Lytechinus pictus: one gene and its partner. The protein of the gene in region 2 interacts with the protein of the main gene of each other region in a pairwise test. Links are inferred from orthologs where the notes say so. Each region holds a gene or a part of one and is shown on either strand. Other genes may lie near its edges.

Region 1 (8,711 bases), on a different chromosome or scaffold from region 2:
GGGGGGGTGGGGAGGGGTGTTGAGTGACATCATGCATGGTTGAAGGAAAAGTTTAAGTTAATTGTCGGGATTTTGGGTTCGGCGCCCCCCCTATATATTCTTTGTTATTTTATATACGTACATGATTTAAAAAAAATCTCAGATAACGGTAAAAGCCAGTGATTTTATCTCTGTAGGCCTATAATATATAACGACGTAAACCGGGACGTATCTTCCCTTTTTTTTTATAGAAAGGGTGGGTCAGTGTATGAGAAAAAAATGTTTTCATGGAAAAGAATCAAGTTATTAAGAACATTTAAAATTAATATTTGTATATACTGCAATTTAAAATAATTTAAGTGAGGTTTAGGGATGTTTATTTCAAATTCTCTCTCTATAACATAAAAATACATTAATAAGGTTTGAACATTTCCGCAGTGGAAAATAAAATTTGAATTACATATTAATAATTATGAATTGTAATGGATGATTCTTACCTGATGTGGTAAATGCCCTCGTCCATCTGGAGTATTCCCTGGACCGGAAAGGCAGGGGTACAACCAGCTCAGGGATCCCTGGGGGTATTCTCGTGTTATATAATTCAGGCTAGGACACACTAACCCATCATGGGATCATTCAAAAGATCAATGGAAAGGGGTGCTTTTCACTGGTCAGCACATGAATGCTTTGACCCAATCAGAAGTGAAAACGCAAAAAAAAACATGACTCATTTTATCTCATGAAATGTTCCCACCGAAGACGACGGAATGTCTGGCTTCCAAGACCTTATCGGACAGGCTGTTTCATGTCTGTCAACACTGCGGCAACTTCACAGAAACAAATTCTTTCACACCCTCCTTATTCCGAAAAATCCATGTAAATTACTTTCTTTTTGTTGTCAACACCCTTCTGCATTAATCTTTTGAAGTATACACCGCGGCAACTTCACAGAAACAACTTATTCTTTCACACCCTCCTTATTCCGAAAAAGTCCATGTGAATTACTTTCTTTACAGTTGTAATATTTTTGGCATTTCTTTACGTAATCAAATTATCATTTTTATTGTGCTGTCCTGCATGAAGAGTTCATATTTTTTGGATCCTGCAGACTGAAGAAATAAAACGTTGCCTTTTAATGCAGGTTCCCTCATGTTTCTATTCGCCGTATTATTCAATTTAAATAAATGATGCCATGTCTGATTTGTACGTCATGTTCATTCTTCTGATGTAATATTTGTATTATGTTCATGATTATGACTTGTGAAATAAGTGAAATAATGTCATATCTCAAAATTGACGAAGAGTTCCCCATAGCAACCTTCAGAATATTTTTCTTTTGGAAAACTCACCGGCACCGACCAGGGACACCGAAGGAGGGGGCAACTCTTTTCACTTAACAAAAAAAAAAGAATAATAATTAAAAAGTGAGTATTCTCGTCTGATCGTTGTTACATGATGATACCCTTACCCCCACCCTAATTCAGAATCCAACCCCTGACCCCTACTGGGATAGCTATATAGAAGGGGTAATTAAGGGCCACCCCATCGATCCTCCATAATATCCCATGTAGGAAGTTGAGACTCATGGCGGAAAAAGGAGTAAAATCGAGAAATGTAAACGAGCTATGTAGGCCCCCTCCCCGTGTAAAAAAAAAATCAATATAGGCCTATTGCACATCCCTTGAAATCAGATGTAAATTCAATTTGACAGTCGCATTGGATACCTAATTTATTCATATCGGGTTACATTGGTATAAAAGCCCCATAATAGCGTGACTTTTTTGCCACTTTTTGTCAACGCTTTAAAAGGTCCATGTTTGAACCAGGGATATTGCATATCCCTGTTTGAACTATATTTTCACTCATGACAGGGCAAGATAGACGAAGTGTTAGAAGAATGTTCCCATAAAAAAGCAGATTACGGATGTAAAAGTCAGCGGGGGGGGGGGGGGGTGGGGGGGGGGGGAGTCTCTCACCGAAAACGTTTTTTTCCAACTCTCCGCTCAATCATATAAATGGCCTCCAATTTTCAGGGGGTTTTTTTGGGGGGGGGTGGTGTAAACGGGTTCTTTGCAGGTATTTTTTTTTTGATATCCATTTATTTATTTTTGCTAAGAGCAAGGGCGCAGGACCGAGGAAACCCATCCCCCACCCCCTCCGCCTATACATTAGAAAATAAAAAAATAACTGACATCTCGTCGAGTAATTTTTGTATCCTAATTTTACAACAATCAGTATGTTACTGTTAGAAATAAAATCTTAAATGTGTGTGATTGTGAGAGGGCATATATACATATATTGTGCGTAAACATTGCAACTTAAAACATTGATTTCTTAGATTTCTTAATAAACAAAATATACTTTAGTAGGCCTTAACAATTGATTACTAATCAAACTATACACACCGGGGGATTCCCCTATTTTAATTTAGCCCTGGGATTTAGCCCCCAGAGCGAATGTACAGTTGCAACGTACAGGTCCATGCTTTACACACGCAGTTTTTAAATCCACTCTAACTCCATTATTCCCATGCCACCATCTCGGTCACAGACCTTCTCACACACAAGTGTAAACATCCTTGTACAGAATTCCCTGTATCACACGTATATGCCGCCATTATGCCATGTGCAATATCTCACACACACATGACCTTCCAAAACATCTCTCCTTGTATCACGGCGATTACACGTGATTAACATTTGTAACTGAGGAGGGGGGGGGGCTGAATGTTCCTAAGAGAAAGATTGTGCTAGCCTTCATCCTTTCACATTTTAAAATTATTTTCATTTATTTTATTTGGATGATATCCGTTCACAACGTTACAGAGTTTAAACGAACTTTACAAATCATAAAAATTGCCTGAATCAAGACTAATACATGGTCTACGTTCGCGATAGGCCCCTCCCACCACTTCGCGCGATCTTCAACTTCATGACGATAATTACGTCACGTACACGTCATATGGAGGTTTTTGCTTTGCATTTTAAAATTTGAAAATAAATTCACTAATTTTTTTTTCTTAAATTAATCTAGATATAAGACTTCGTCTAAAAACCATCTTTTTTAAGAATGAAAAGTCCCAAAACGGGCCCCAAGATGTTTTAATTGAATATCTTTAAGTAGAATAGGGTGGGTCCTTCAAAAAGATTATACAGCTCAGCATGCACTTCCAAGACGGTCCCTGAGACATGAATTTAGGGAAAATCCCAAAAGATGCAGCAAATGCAGAATTTTTATTGGTCAAATTTTGGAGGGTGCCGCCCCCAAATCAAACTTAGCTCGCTCACACGCAATCCTGGTGACGTCATGGTGACGGGTCGCGTGTGCAAAACTTTGAATTTCCCCATTGACTTTATACACATACAAACTCTGCAGTTCATGTGGAATACAAGGACAAAGTACGATATTTTCCCATTCAAAGAACAAGTAGAGGTAAGCCATTCGAAAATATAGAATACTAAATAATTACTGACAAATAATTACCGATCCTTTTAATGCCAAATATATCATAGCTACCTGAAATAACTGAATTTAGGGTGAAATTATCAGTCAAGAGGGATGCATTATTGGGGCTTCGTAGGATCAACGGACGCGCTCGACGCACTCGCAATGGTATGTAGGGACTTTGATAGAGCAAGTACCGAATATACCGTTGTCCCTAACTCATGTTTGTTGACTGTTGATGTTGTGTGAATTATTTGAAAAAAGGGATGGTCCGGGCTGAAAGTATTGGTATAGCTTGATAAATAGAGTAGAATTCACTGAGCAAAATGCCGAAAATTTCATCAAAATCGGATAACAAATAGGCCTAACACTTAACAGTTATTGAATTTTAAAGTTTAGCAATATTTTGTGAAAATAGTAGGCCTAGTCATGAATTATTGAATATTCATTAGCCTAGGTCGAGTAGGTGGGCTGATGATGTCACATCCCCACTTGTTCTTTTGTATTTTAGGGCCTAGGCCTACCGGCATGACCGGTATATGAAATTATGTTTATTCAAATTTGTTTTCCTCCAAGAACTACTCAACTAGAGTAGAATTTAGAAATATTACTCAGTAATGATAATTGATATACCTATTTATTTAGGTGGGCTGATGTCACATCCCCACATAACCCAGGAAGCTTACCGTGTATTTGACCATAGTCACCGGACTAGGGTGATTTATGGTCTAAATATTTCTCCAAATGAATTGTGAAAACAGAAACTTACAATTACCACGATTATATGGATGAAGGTCTAACGAGTGGCAGTTTCCTGACATCTGGGCACAGACTGGAACCTCAAAAAAACGAAACGTTCTCTCCTCTACCCCAGTCTCGATCAGCCATTTTGTTACGATTTTTAACAAAAATGGCCGATCGAGACGGGGGTAGAAGGAGAGAACTTTTCGGTTTTTTGAGGTTCCAGTTTGTGCCCAGATGTCAGGAAACTGCCACTCGTTAGACCTTCATCCATATAATTGTGGTAATTGTATACTTTCTGTTTTCACAATTCATTTGGAGAAATATTCAGACCATAAATCACCCTAGTCCGGTGACTATGGTCAAATACACGGTAAGCTCCTGGGCTCCCGCGCAGCGGGCGGGAGCTCCCTGGGTTAATCCCCACATTGTTTTCTTATGTTATTGCATAAAATAATATTTTTTTTATTATTTCATAGTACTTGTGTGAATGATGACAATGTTTCCCTTAGCTTATAAGTATAATGAAATAAGTTGCAGCAATAAATATCTAGCTAGGGCCTAAAGCACTAAGCCAGTTGCCAATCATGTAGCGCAAAATCGCTCTCGCGCGCCTTAAAATCGAGTCCCTGAGTAGAGGTGCACGGCCAATATAGGAGACTCTTTCCAAAGGGAGACACTTTCCAAAGGGAGACAATCTCCCATATTGGACACTTGCTTTGCAAAAGAACAAAGAAACACCAACAAAAGCATGATTTTTTTTCCACCCAAAATTTTGTCCCACTGAGGTCAGAGCCCATTTGTTTCATGTGTGGATGACAACAAAAAACCTTATAAAAACAAAAGTAGACGGTGAAAAGGGGTAATTTTTCATGAGTTGAGGAATCTGCTTATCAGTATCACATTTTTATTTGCCGCCAAGTTAATTCTTTTGCAGCAAATGTAAACAAAGAAAATTGGTCTCCCAAACTGGAGACTGTCTCTGAAATTGGATACCCAAATTCTTGATAAAAGTATCTTGATATGGGAGATAATCTCATGGGAGACAGTCTCCCATATTGGACGTGGGCCGCTACTGATCACGGAGCCTTGAAATGCTTGCCATATAGACTTTATGCATAAGCGAGATGACTTGTCAACAAGGATGGATTTCCCTAAGAAATACATAATTAGACAGTGAGATCGGTTTGTTTCTCTTGATTTTATTTATCTATGAACCTTTACCGTATATGCAATAGGCGTATGAAGGTTCATAGATTAAAATTATTTTAGTATAAATATGAAAAATGAGAGGTTTCTTACCAGACCGATCTTTTGTAGATCCCTCGATCCATTCGTAAACACCGCAAATACAATAGGTTTGACCCTGCTTCGATAAGTGATGTTACAAAATGCGTGTCAATCGGTTTTTGTCTCACCTGCATAGCAGAGTGAGACTATAGGCGCCGCTTTTCCGACGGCGGCGGCGGCGACAACAACAAATCTTAACCGAAGGTTAAGTTTTTGAAATGACAGCGTAACTTAAAAAGTATATGGACCTAGTTCATGAAACTTGGCCATAAGGTTAATCAAGTATTACTGAACATCCTGCCTGAGTTTCATGTCACATGACCAAGGTCAAAGGTCATTTAGGGTCAATTAACTTAGACCATGTTGGGGGAATCAACATCAAAATTTTAACCTAAGGTTAAGTTTTTGAAATGTCATAACTTAAAAAATATATGGACCTAGTTCATGAAACTTGGACATAAGGTTAATGGTTAATCAAGTATCACTGAATGTCCTGCATGAGTTTCACGTCACATGACCAAGGTCAGAGGTCATTTAGGGTCAATGAACTTTTTCCAAATTGGGGGTATTTGTTGAATTACCATCATAACTTTGAAAGTATATTGGTCTAGTTCATAAAACTTGGACATAAGTAATCAAGTATCACTGAACATCCTGTGTACATTTCAGGTCACATGACCAAGGTCAAAGGTCAATGAACTTTGGCCATAATGGGGGTATCTGTTGAATTACAATCATAACTTTGAAAGTTTATGGATCTGATTCATGAAACTTGGACATAATAGTAATCAAGTATCACTGATCATCCTATGCAAGTTTCAGGTCACATGAATTAGGTCAAAGGTCATTTAGGGTCAATGAACTTTGGCCAAATTGGGGGTATTTGTTGAATTACCATCATAACTTTGAAAGTATATTGGTCTAGTTCATAAAATTTGGACATAAGAGTAATCAAGTATCACTGATCATCCTGTGAAAGTTTCAGGTCACATGATTTAGGTCAAAGGTCATTTAGGGTCAATGAACTTTGGCCAAATTGGGGGTATTTGTTGAAATACCATCATAACTTTGAAAGTATATTGGTGTAGTTCATAAAACTTGGACATAAGAGTTATCAAGTATCACTGAACATCCTGTGCACATTTCAGGTCACATGACCAAGGTCAAAGGTCAATGAACTTTGGCCATAATGGGGGTATCTGTTGAATTACCATCATAACTTTGAAAGTTTATGGATCTGATTCATGAAACTTGGACATAATAGTAATCAAGTATCACTGATCATCCTGTGCAAGTTTCAGGTCACATGATTTAGGTCAAAGGTCATTTAGGGTCAATGAACTTTGGCCATGTTGGGGGTATTTGTTGAAATACCATCATATCTCTATAGTGTATTGGTCTAGTTCATAAAACGTGGACATAAGAGTAACCAAGTATCACTGAGTATCTTGTGCGAGTTATAGTAGTTTTCAAAGTCAGCACTGCTGCTATATTGAATCGTGTGATGCAGGTGAGACCGCCAGAGGCATTCCACTTGTTCTCTATTATACTCAATAGGAGCATACACTTTTCTATGCAGATCGATATAGCAGCCAACCTATACAGTATGCACACGCAATATTACCACGGTAAATCATATACAAGAGATACTATAGCGCAAATAAAACGTACGGGCGGTTAAGGGCGGTTCAGTGTGTAACAGGAAGGGCAGTCTCGGGCGTTTCAGGGGCTATTTGGTTAAAGAGATATTTGGTTAAAGAGATATGATTGGAATTATAAAAAAATGTTGCCTTTATTTACCCCTCTCCCCTATTTAAAAAAAAACCAGAAAAATAACATGAGAATAATATTGGTTTAAGTGGCCATCTTGTTCTCTTTGTTAGTAGCTTAGTTTGGATACGCATATATCGCAAAAAGTCCCCAGATGATCAATAAAATCTCATTCAACCCTAAATTAATGCTAATTATGTGAAAGGTGAATAGGTGTATTCATGTTAAATGTGTTTATTGAAATACCAGTGAAGTTTGCCCAGCGCGAGTATTGTGACATCGCTACTCAGTGCATAATATTTGTATTGATTTCTACATGGTATGTAAGCAGAATTATCACTATTTCATTTTACAGAGTCTATGGGGAAATGGAAATTCTGTTTTCAGACATGCTGAAACAGACTTAGATTTTCTGAAATGGAAAATCACTGTCCCTGTAAATCTTAATGGTAAATACATGCACATACATGTAAACACGTAATATATTTGTAGAGGTAGTAGTATTGATATTGAAAGGTGAAAATACTCCTTTTTTTTCTCCACATGTAGGGATTACTAACTGAAGATAAGGTTAACATTATTTTCTTGCCTAATGGATATAAGTGTATTCTTCTGTACTTTCCTTTTGGTGTTTAGTTTATTTGGCTACTTTTAAATGTTATGTCATTTTTTTTTTTTTAAGGTGAACTTCACAATAGATCAGATCCGTACCATCATGGACAAAAAACAGAACATTAGGAACATGTCTGTTATTGCTCATGTCGATCATGGCAAGTCTACTCTGACTGACTCTTTGGTGAGCAAGGCCGGAATCATTGCCACTGCAAAGGCTGGTGAGATGCGATTCACCGACACCAGGAAGGATGAACAGGAGCGTTGTATTACCATCAAGTCTACGTTAGTATTGATTTGTAGTTTAATTTGAGTAATGTTTGCTTTTTTATCTACATGCAACATGTATCTCCAAACCTTTCTGATTTCCCTATGGAGGTACTCACACAACCCTAGATTTCTTACCATCCTTGCCCTCTTGAAACATGAATGTCTTGGCACTGATCAATATGATGAACAAGGTGTTTTCATGGAAGCACATACATCTGTATTACAGTTGAACTTGGTTATCATCTTATATAAGCCTGGTATTTTACTTCAAATTTTTTTTCCATCAGGCCACATGTGCTGGATATACAAATAGCAAATAGGCATGAGTGCAAGGTTTCGCCTATTCACCGAATGTGAAGTGTTGCACGATTGTATGAATAAGGATATTCGCTATTTGTGTTGTACGCCTCGAAAGTTAGTGAAAATACGAAGAATAATCATTTTCTCCTACGTAAATCTATGAAAATAAGAATTATTTGTAGAATAAAGAAAAAAAGACCATGAAATGGCAGTAATGGAAATCAAAATTTTAGTATAGAAGGAAAAAAGTATTTAAAAAAAAAAATTTTAGGAAAAAGAGGAAAATGAAGAATAAAGGACATTAT
Region 2 (9,648 bases):
TTAGAATTATTGGAATGATCTCTTACGACGCATCATCTTAAAGTCGCAAGTGCAATTAAAATGAAGTAGAAGACGCAAGCACGCACGATGATTTGAAATATGTTATTAAAATGTTTTGGGTAGCTAGCGTTTTCAAATCAATTTGAAGTTCACGGCGGGGTCCGCTATCACCACGAGGTTGAAGAGAAGATGTCTATCATCATAAAGGGGGTAAGAGAGTAGCGCAGTGAGCTCCGTCGGTAATACGACCTTTCAAAGTTCACGGCGGCATCCGCTATCACCACGAGATTGAAAATAAAATGTATATCATCATAAACGATGTAAGAGAGTAACGCAATAAGCTCCGTCAATAGTACAGTCTTTAAAAGTTTGTGGCGGGGTCCGCTATCACCACGAGGTTGAAGAGAAGATTTATATCATTATAAAGGGGGTAAGAGAGTAGCGCAGTGAGCTCCGTCGGTAATACGACCTTTCAAAGTTCATGGCGGCATCCGCTATCACCACTAGGTTGAAAATAAAATGTATATCATCATAAACGATGTAAGAGAGTAACGCAATAAGCTCCGTCAGTAGCACGATCTTTCAAAGTTCACGGCGGCATCCGCTATCACCACGAGGTTGAAAATAAAATGTATATCATCATAAACGATGTAAGAGAGTAACGCAATAAGCTCCGTCAATAGTACAGTCTTTAAAAGTTTATGGCGGGGTCCGCTATCACCACGAGGTTGAAGAGAAGATTTATATCATTATAAACGGGGTTAGAGAGTAGCGCAGTGAGCTCCGTCGGTAATACGACCTTTCAAAGTTCACGGCGGCTTCCGCTATCACCACGAGGTTGAATATAAAATGAATATCATCATAAACGATGTAAGAGAGCAACGCAATAAGCTCCGTCAATAGTACAGTCTTTAAAAGTTTATGGCGGGGTCCGCTATCACCACGAGGTTGAAGAGAAGATTTATATCATTATAAACGGGGTTAGAGAGTAGCGCAGTGAGCTCCGTCGGTAGTACGACCTTTCAAAGTTCACGGCGGCTTCCGCTATCACCACGAGGTTGAATATAAAATGAATATCATCATAAACGATGTAAGAGAGCAACGCAATAAGCTCCGTCAGTAGCACGATCTTTAAAAGTTCACGGCGGGGTCCGCTATCACCACGAGGTTGAAAATAAAATGTATATCATCATAAACGATGTAAGAGAGTAACGCAATAAGCTCCGTCAATAGTACAGTCTTTAAAAATTTATGGCGGGGTCCGCTATCACCACGAGGTTGAAGAGAAGATTTATATCATTATAAACGGGGTTAGAGAGTAGCGCAGTGAGCTCCGTCGGTAATACGACCTTTCAAAGTTCACGGCGGCATCCGCTATCACCACGAGGTTGAAAATAAAATGTATATCATCATAAACGATGTAAGAGAGTAACGCAGTGAGCTCCGTCGGTAATACGACCTTTCAAAGTTCACGGCGGCATCCGCTATCACCATGAGTTGGAGGAGAAGATATCTATCCTCTTAAACATCGCCATAGATAATACCGCGTCTTTCTCCCTGAATAATGCGACCTCTAAATAGCTAGCACCTCAAAAACAATCTTGAAATATGTTCTGAGCGATCACGCACTGTAACCAGATCTACGCCAATTTTTTATTTTCGATTTTTTCCTTCAAGGGGCATGATCGAAGATCGGCAAGTGATTGCCGATTGTGGTGAAATCGAATGGAATCGGTTGCCGATTGCAAAATCGGTTACAAGCTTATACTCCATGGTGAAGAAGTATAACATCATGGGGCCGATTGCACGAAAGGGTCTTTCCAAGGACCGTCTTTCGTGTCGCCCATCTTTATAATGCGCTACAGTACAACTACAGTACAAGTGGTTGGGGGTCCTAAAGCTACGCGGGTCCTAAAGCTACGCACCACTCATCGCGCATGCAATTCCAATGGCAAAATAAATGCGCACTCTAGCTCTGTGTGTGAAGCTGTGACGAACGATCCCTATTCAATTTTTTTACAGAGGCTGCAATAAACCCTTGAATGCAGAGAAAACCAGCAAATGTTTGGAATTTCGGAGTTATATTCACTTTGATTTCATATTTTCCTATAATAATACGGACATATTTTAGAAATTGAGGCACAGGAAATACTATTTCTTTGCATGATAAATTGAGTGCGTAGCTTTAGGACCCCTTCTACATCGGGCGGCGAAATTAAGAGGTGTTCGGAAAACACGGCGGGATTTTCGTATTCGTGAGTTTTGTGATATTTTCTTCTTGGTTAAGGATATTTAGAATATTTATTACAAATTAGTGAAAAATAATTGTTCAAATATTAAAATTGGCATAGTTTTTATCGTTTGGAAACAAAGTGCGTAGCTTTAGGTCCCCCCATCATACAAGCGGGGTGTTTCTGAAATTTATGATAATCAAATACAATTCGTAAGCTTGCTTTTAAATCAAATTTATACAACTTTGTGAGATATCACATCATTTTATAAACAAATAGGCCTAGTTTGTTTATTTCAATGGACGAATAAAATATGTTTGCAGATAATTTATTTGAAATGCGTTTCATATGGCGCATCATAAAAAATGGGCGACACGAAAGACGGTCCTTGCAAAGACCCTTTCGTGCAATCGGGCCCCTTGAGTCCTCAAGACCACTCATTCAATGAACAAGGTTATGATATAACCTTGTTCTCAGTTATATCTCCATGTGTGGTAAAATAAGGATGGCAATGTTTGGCTTATTTTCTCTTTTTCTTTGGGACAAATACTTGATTTTTTTACACTGACAGTTTCCATTACCCCTATTTGTCATACAACTTGGCCCTTAAGTATATTTGATTCTTTAAATTATTTTTTTCTTAATTAAAAATAGAGATAAAAAATGAAAATTTTCTTGCCATATTATTTTCCACCAATAGAGGGCGTACACACAAATATGCCCAAAATTCAAGTTTTTAAGCGCTCTAGTGAATACAAAATTATTCTCAAGTTACTAATGAAAAATAAATTGCAACTAGGCCTAGGCCTATATGGAAATTAGTAATTTTGGTCACAAAAGTGATATTTTAATTATTTTTCAAAGTGTGTGCTCTGTACAGCATTGGCATGCCATAATCCAACCTGTAGATTCCCCACAGGCAGGGTGGTTGCAGTGAACAAGTGCTCAAGACTAGGTTCTACCAAAGCCTTGTAAAGGCAAAGACCCTTCTAACTCTAGACTAGTCTAACTAAGTAACAGGCCTGGCCACTGCACTTCTCCCTGGATCCGCGGCTCTGTGCAGCTAGCACCCAGCGGGGTGCGCCCGGCTGCTCGGCGCCTGACCCTTGCCTAATCTAATTCAGGTACCGTACCGTACGGTAATTGCCTTGCTGCCTGGCTTGCTGGTCCCGCTGACACCGTCTCTAAATAACTTTACAACTCACGACTTTTTAATACGGTACATTTAATATAATATGGAGAACTTACCATCTTCTTGTCACTTCTCTAATTCTTTAGAACAGCTGAAAACACGATTCTCATCATTCATCATTTAACGTCACTAATTCCAGTTTTTAGTTTAATAAACTTTATTAAAGCGATTCGCAGCCCGCAGGTTTGCCAGTCAAAATTCGAACGGAGCGCGCGCAGCAGCCTATGGAAAGCTCAGTGTTTCAACAGATCCAAAACAAATTTCCCGAAACTTATTCCAAAATTTCCCGAAATTCATAGACATTTCCTAGAATTTTCAAGTTTTATTTCTAACTAAAATCGGGCAATAATACAGCGAGCCTAAATTTGGTCCAAGTGACCAAAATCAAGGAATTCAACATTTTTTTTCACTCTCTTTTAAAATAGGAACAAAATTACGAATTGCGAGCGCGGGGCGCGAGACCACAATTTTGAGCTACGTATCGAGGTAAACAAATTTATAACATGAATATTAAAGTTGAAAAGTTTAATTGTAATTTTCTGGTTACCCGGAATTACCTGGATTTTTTTCATTACCCGAAAATTACCTGAAAATGATCCGGATTACCCGGAAATCGGGTAATTTCCTTCAAAGTGAAAACAGTGGGAAACTCGGCTAAACGATATGAACTCGATTTTTTTAAATACCGTTTTTTGTTTACTGGTAAAATTGAGTATTGATTCATAAAAGATACACCTCTATGATTGGTTTATATATCAGTGGCGGATCAAGCTTTTTGCAAAAGGGGGTTTAAACAGTCGGTTTGACCCAATGAAAGTGGCATGAAGCCTAAATTAATAAGGGGACCAGAGAAGATAGCATCTATGGGAGACTTTCTCCAAAGATTAAGCAAACAAAGCAAGCGCGCATAAAATTGACAAAGTTAATAAAAAGTATAATATTGTGATAGATTCTGACATGACATCCAGAAGAAAATATTGTATTCCACCCTTTTCTTTTTTTTTTTTTTTATATTTTCTCCCATCTACATAGGGGCGACCTCCGACCGCCTCCCTATGGTATTAAATTGAAAAATGAGGGAAGAAGAACAAAATATATTTTTTAAGAAAGAAAGGAAAGAAGGGAGGATATTGATCAATCAAAAAGAGATGTATAGCTCGTGTACTAACTCTTACAAAAATAAAATAAAAGAAATGAATGAAAAAAAAAATCAATTAAATATATGAAATTTTTGTGTTTTGACTTTGATCCACTTAATATTTATCTGGAATCCAAAATAATTTGGCCAAAACATAAAAAGGCTGCTTATTTCGTTCTTAATGAAACAGAAACAGAAATAGAAATGACAATTATCATTGATAATATGATAACTACCTTTCATAATGTTTTCATCAATTAAATCACAATTTGAGATGTAGAAGAGATAAGGGTTCATAAATCCTCTCATTTCGTGAACATGATCTGAAACAAACGAACATCAATTTGAAACTCAACATGACTCTGAGTGGATATTTTTCTCACCTTAAACTATTAAAATCCGAAAAATCTTTATTTCTTTTATACAGTATGTTTATATTTCTGTTGTATACTTGCATATACGCTCTATACATATTTCTTGGTCTTCATACACAATATCATATTATTATACACATTACTCAGCTTTTAAATCCTACGATCCGTAGGGGTACTGCTGGGGTATGCGAGCTGACTTGTCATCAAAATATGATGTAAGATAAGAAAGTCAGCCATAATTATGACGTTATAAAGATTCGGTTAATTTGACATAGTCATGCATATCATTGTCCAGGTCAGGGGCAGCGGAGTAAAGTTGAGGACGAATTAAGATGCGTATATTTTTTTAAGTATTATCTTACAAAGGGCACATTTCATTTTGAAAAATATATACTTTTTCCCTATGGAATTTTTTTGGATTATCACCCTGCCCCCCCCTCTCCCGATTCCACTACCCCTAGAGAAAAGAAAGGAAATGACACTATAATTATAACTAACAGACTTAAAATTTCGAACAAACGAGAAAAGAGAAGGGGCATTGATGAGAAATAAATATCATGGGCATATCAAAAAGTGACACACGGAAGAAAAATTTTACTATGAAAAAAAAAGAGCTATAAAGGGGGAAATAAATACATTTTGAAAGGAATTATTCAATTTTAAGCTGCACTTGCAGAAGGGAACAGAACGCTAAATACAGAAATTGACCTGATCGGGCATGGAAAGAACTTATAGATACGGGAATTGCATGCAGGGGCGACGGAACCGAGGGGGTGGCAGGGGCACTTGCTTGGTGATTACTATAAAAAAAAATCTGTATGACATTGACGCAAAACATGATAATCATGTACATAGCGACAGGCTTGCGGCGACCAAGACTTTGATCTCTAAACAACCAATTCAAGAATTATGTCATTCGTAATTCTCGAACTCGTCCTCAATTACATATTGTTTGATACGAATCCGACCTTTGGTATACCTAAGATTAACGGGGTCATCCTAACCCATAGAACTGATCACAGTTTAATTCATAACTAATTAATTAAACAACTCTTGGGAGCTACACTGATGTTGTAGACCAAAACGTAAAGTTAAACAAACGGACCAAGAAATTCTAAAGTAGTTATGATCAGTTGCACGTTGAGATAACGAGCTCAGAACATGCAAGTTTGATTAACACTCCTAAATTTTGCTCTCTAGAAAGGAGGAATTTGATCTGAAAATGACCGTTTCATCAAATTTGGTATTTATACTATGCTTATTTTTGCCTGTCCAGCAGTTCTGGGCCTGGGAAGCTAGAGATTTGGGATGGTTTCTTATCCGGAACCCAGCGTTTACGGCGATAGAGCCCCGGCCAGGAGGAGTCGGTGGATATGATCTCAGTATCAGCACCTTTTCAGCTATCCCAAATACTCTAGATTCGAACTATATTGTGCGTGATATAGCAAAACAGTTGGTGGAAGAAGGCGATGTGAGACGATTGAATACAGATGTGTTGGACGGAGGGTTGTTTTGGCCAAATGAGGTTGGACTAGTACCAGGTGAGTGATATCATGTATATATATGATAACAACAACAATAATAATGATCCCAGCACTCTCACCCCCTCAAACATACACCCACTTTCCCACACACACTCAAACACACATCCACACTTGTCATTTCAGGTTAAATTTATTTATATTTGAATAAATCACAAAATTTACAAATGATTATAATAAAAACAGAAATAAAATAAAAATTGAGAAAAATATTTATATTGAATATACATATATGTTTATGTATGTGGACTTCTCTATGCAGGAAATAGTCAACACTCGGTGAGTCAACTTTGAAAACACAGTGAAAACAATGTGGGCACGGTGTGATGCGTGTATCATTATGACACATGTGAAACGGTTCACACTGTTTGATTTCATTCCCTCACTGATTGATAACGAAAAACACACTTGTTTTTTGTGTTCACACAATCATGCTATTCGACACACATTCGAAACTTGCAACTGTGAAATTCATTTATCACAGTGTGTTCACACATCGCCCACGCAGTGAAGATTATATAAAACCACACTGTGTAGAAGGTATCCACTGCGGCTGCATTTGTACTGCACAATAATTTCACATAGTTCCACACAGTGACCACACTGTGAAGAAAATTGCCACTCTGTTGCATTTTTTCAACACAATGTGATCACAGTGTGAAGACATATTTTGCATATATTATTTACACATGAATGAAAAATACTTCCATATTATGAGAAAAAAATAAATATCCGCTGTTGATTTTGATTGAAAATGAAATCAAGAAATACATTTTCCCACAAAAAATGAAATAGAAAGTGGCATCCGATTGTCTTTGTTGATAATGATAAAAATAATAATTTACGCACCATAATCATAAATAACGATCAACATGGGATAAAATAATAAGCCAAGGCGCGCGGCCCCTGCCAGAAGGAAACACAGGAAGTCAATATATTTTTCTAAAAGAAAAAAGTACACAAAGTTTCTAAGAGTGCATATTGCATTTCCATTTATTTGAATGTAGGATAAAGAGCACTATCGATTAAATGCATTGCTCGCGGGGAAACATAGATGCCGTAGCCGGCGATCGAACCCCGAACTTTCAAGTGTGCCAGTGTGTCAGTACTATGTTCCACACTGTGTCACACTCACGTGGCCACCCCTCTGCCATAAATGTGGAATACGTTTTCACACTGTGGTAAGCCTACATAGTGTGTCATCATTGTGAATAATTACAAATATATCTTAACCATAGAGTGAAACAAGTGTGATGAAACTGTTTTTACCCCGTGATTAAGTCACCTACTGTATGTTAAGTCACAGTGTTGACACACTGAATACTTATGCACAGAGTGAAAACTTTTTCCTGTTAATCGCATGGGAATAACTATGTGCAACATAGTGTGTAAGACAGCATTGCCAGACACACTGTTTCACAGTCTTGTGACTGCGTGATATTTCTAGCAGGGATACATCAGCTTCGATAAAAATATTGTCTCCTCGTTTAAATTAAAAATTCAATAACTAATTAAAGATAAACAGATGAAATTATTTGAATGAGTAAATAAATAAGTAATTAAATTAATTGGTACAGAATTCTAAATAAACGAATAAATGAAATAGCCCTTCTGGAAAGAACACAGTGAGCACACAGTGTGATCACAGTGTGCTCACATAGTGGACTATGTGAAAATATCATCCACGCTGTTAAAATGCTCATGACTGTGACACCTCGACAGTGTGATTGTTCACAGCGTGTTCACAAGGCCTGCTGTGTGATTCATACTGTTGAAAACTCAAATTCAATAGTGTGTATAGGTGATTTCACAGTGTGTTCCACTGACTGTGAACACACTGTGGCACACACTGTGGGACACTGTGGGGTTTTTTCAATAGGGAAAACACCTTCACAGAGGTACAGTTTCTTTGACATTTTCATGCATGCATTGTCACCAACAGCAATATTTTGTTAAATGAACGTTCCCCAGCTTTGCTTGAGAGCTAACGCCTTTGATGCGATTCGATTTGATTTCTTCAGATTCCACATTACACATATACATGTATTTACAATAAACTACAATAAATAATTACAAAAATACATACATGTACGTAGGCCTACATATGGTAGCATGTATGTATGTATGTACATGCACATAAAATTAGTAAAGAAAATAGTAAGTGGAGGTATCTACTTGAAAAGCATGGTATATATGATTTTTAGTTTTATTCTTAGTTATAAAATACAATTTTCCTTGAAACAACAAGGATATCAAATCGAAAGGAAATGGGAAGAGATAATTGGAACTTCGCTACAACGTTTCTCATGTTTACAACAAAGAAGATATCAACAATGTCCCGTTTCTGGCCTGCCCGGATTTCAATTCAATTTAGTTTGTTTATTCTTCTCCGTTAAAAAACATCAAAATAATTATGTACATTAATTTTGTACTATAAACAGCTCAGGTATATACATGTATACTGTGAAAAATAAATCAAATACATATAACCGTAAAAAAATGTTACATAGATTTTTGAATGGAAAGGGGAACACCTGTAGAAAGCTTTAAAAGGCTTATAAATGGCAGGTGCCTAAGTAAAGCAAGCTAAATACGGATATGTTGACATACAATGCAATAAAAAGTGGTGCATGTACAGTATTTGAATTCAACGCCTTGTCCCCTCTCCCACTTCTCCACCCCCTTCTCTCTCTCTCGCTGTTTCAGTTTAGGCCCAATCCGCTTTTAGAAAGTTTTTAAAAAGTCGTTGTTTTATTTTACAACCTATATGTGCAATATGTCATTAGAGTTAGGTATATTCCCCGATAAACTCAAGGTGGCTAACGTAATTCCATTTTTTCAAAAAAGGGGTTAAATAAAAGGTTTCTAACTATCGTCCGATTTCTCTTTTATCTGTTTTTACTAAGACATTTGAAAAAAATTGTATATAATAAATCATTGAATTATACATGTATTGATAAAAACAATATTTCATACGAAAGACAATTTGGTTTTAGACAAGGTCACTCAACGAGCACTGCTCTTCACCAACACTCTTGCCAATGTTTTTGAACAGAAAAAGTTTTTAATTGGAATATTTCTGGACCTTTCAAAGGCGTTTGATTGCATTGATAACCATATATTATTGCAGAAACTAGAATATTACAGTATCAGAGGAAATATACACAATTGG

The links.
Region 1: the proteins of DNA repair and recombination protein RAD54-like (region 2) and elongation factor 2b-like interact in a two-hybrid assay, tested with the Caenorhabditis elegans proteins (2 studies listed by BioGRID). The link is inferred for Lytechinus pictus from reciprocal best matches to the Caenorhabditis elegans genes rad-54.L and eef-2.

The regions. Positions count from the first base shown.
Region 1 is NC_087249.1:23,435,857-23,444,567, forward strand, and holds the start of elongation factor 2b-like, read left to right. Parts: upstream 1-4,669; 5' UTR 4,670-6,426; intron 6,427-6,602; 5' UTR 6,603-7,879; coding exon 7,880-8,121; intron 8,122-8,711. UniProt on the Caenorhabditis elegans protein: Catalyzes the GTP-dependent ribosomal translocation step during translation elongation.
Region 2 is NC_087255.1:21,260,412-21,270,059, forward strand, and holds the start of DNA repair and recombination protein RAD54-like, read right to left. Parts: upstream 3,636-9,648; 5' UTR 3,483-3,635; coding exon 3,480-3,482; intron 1-3,479.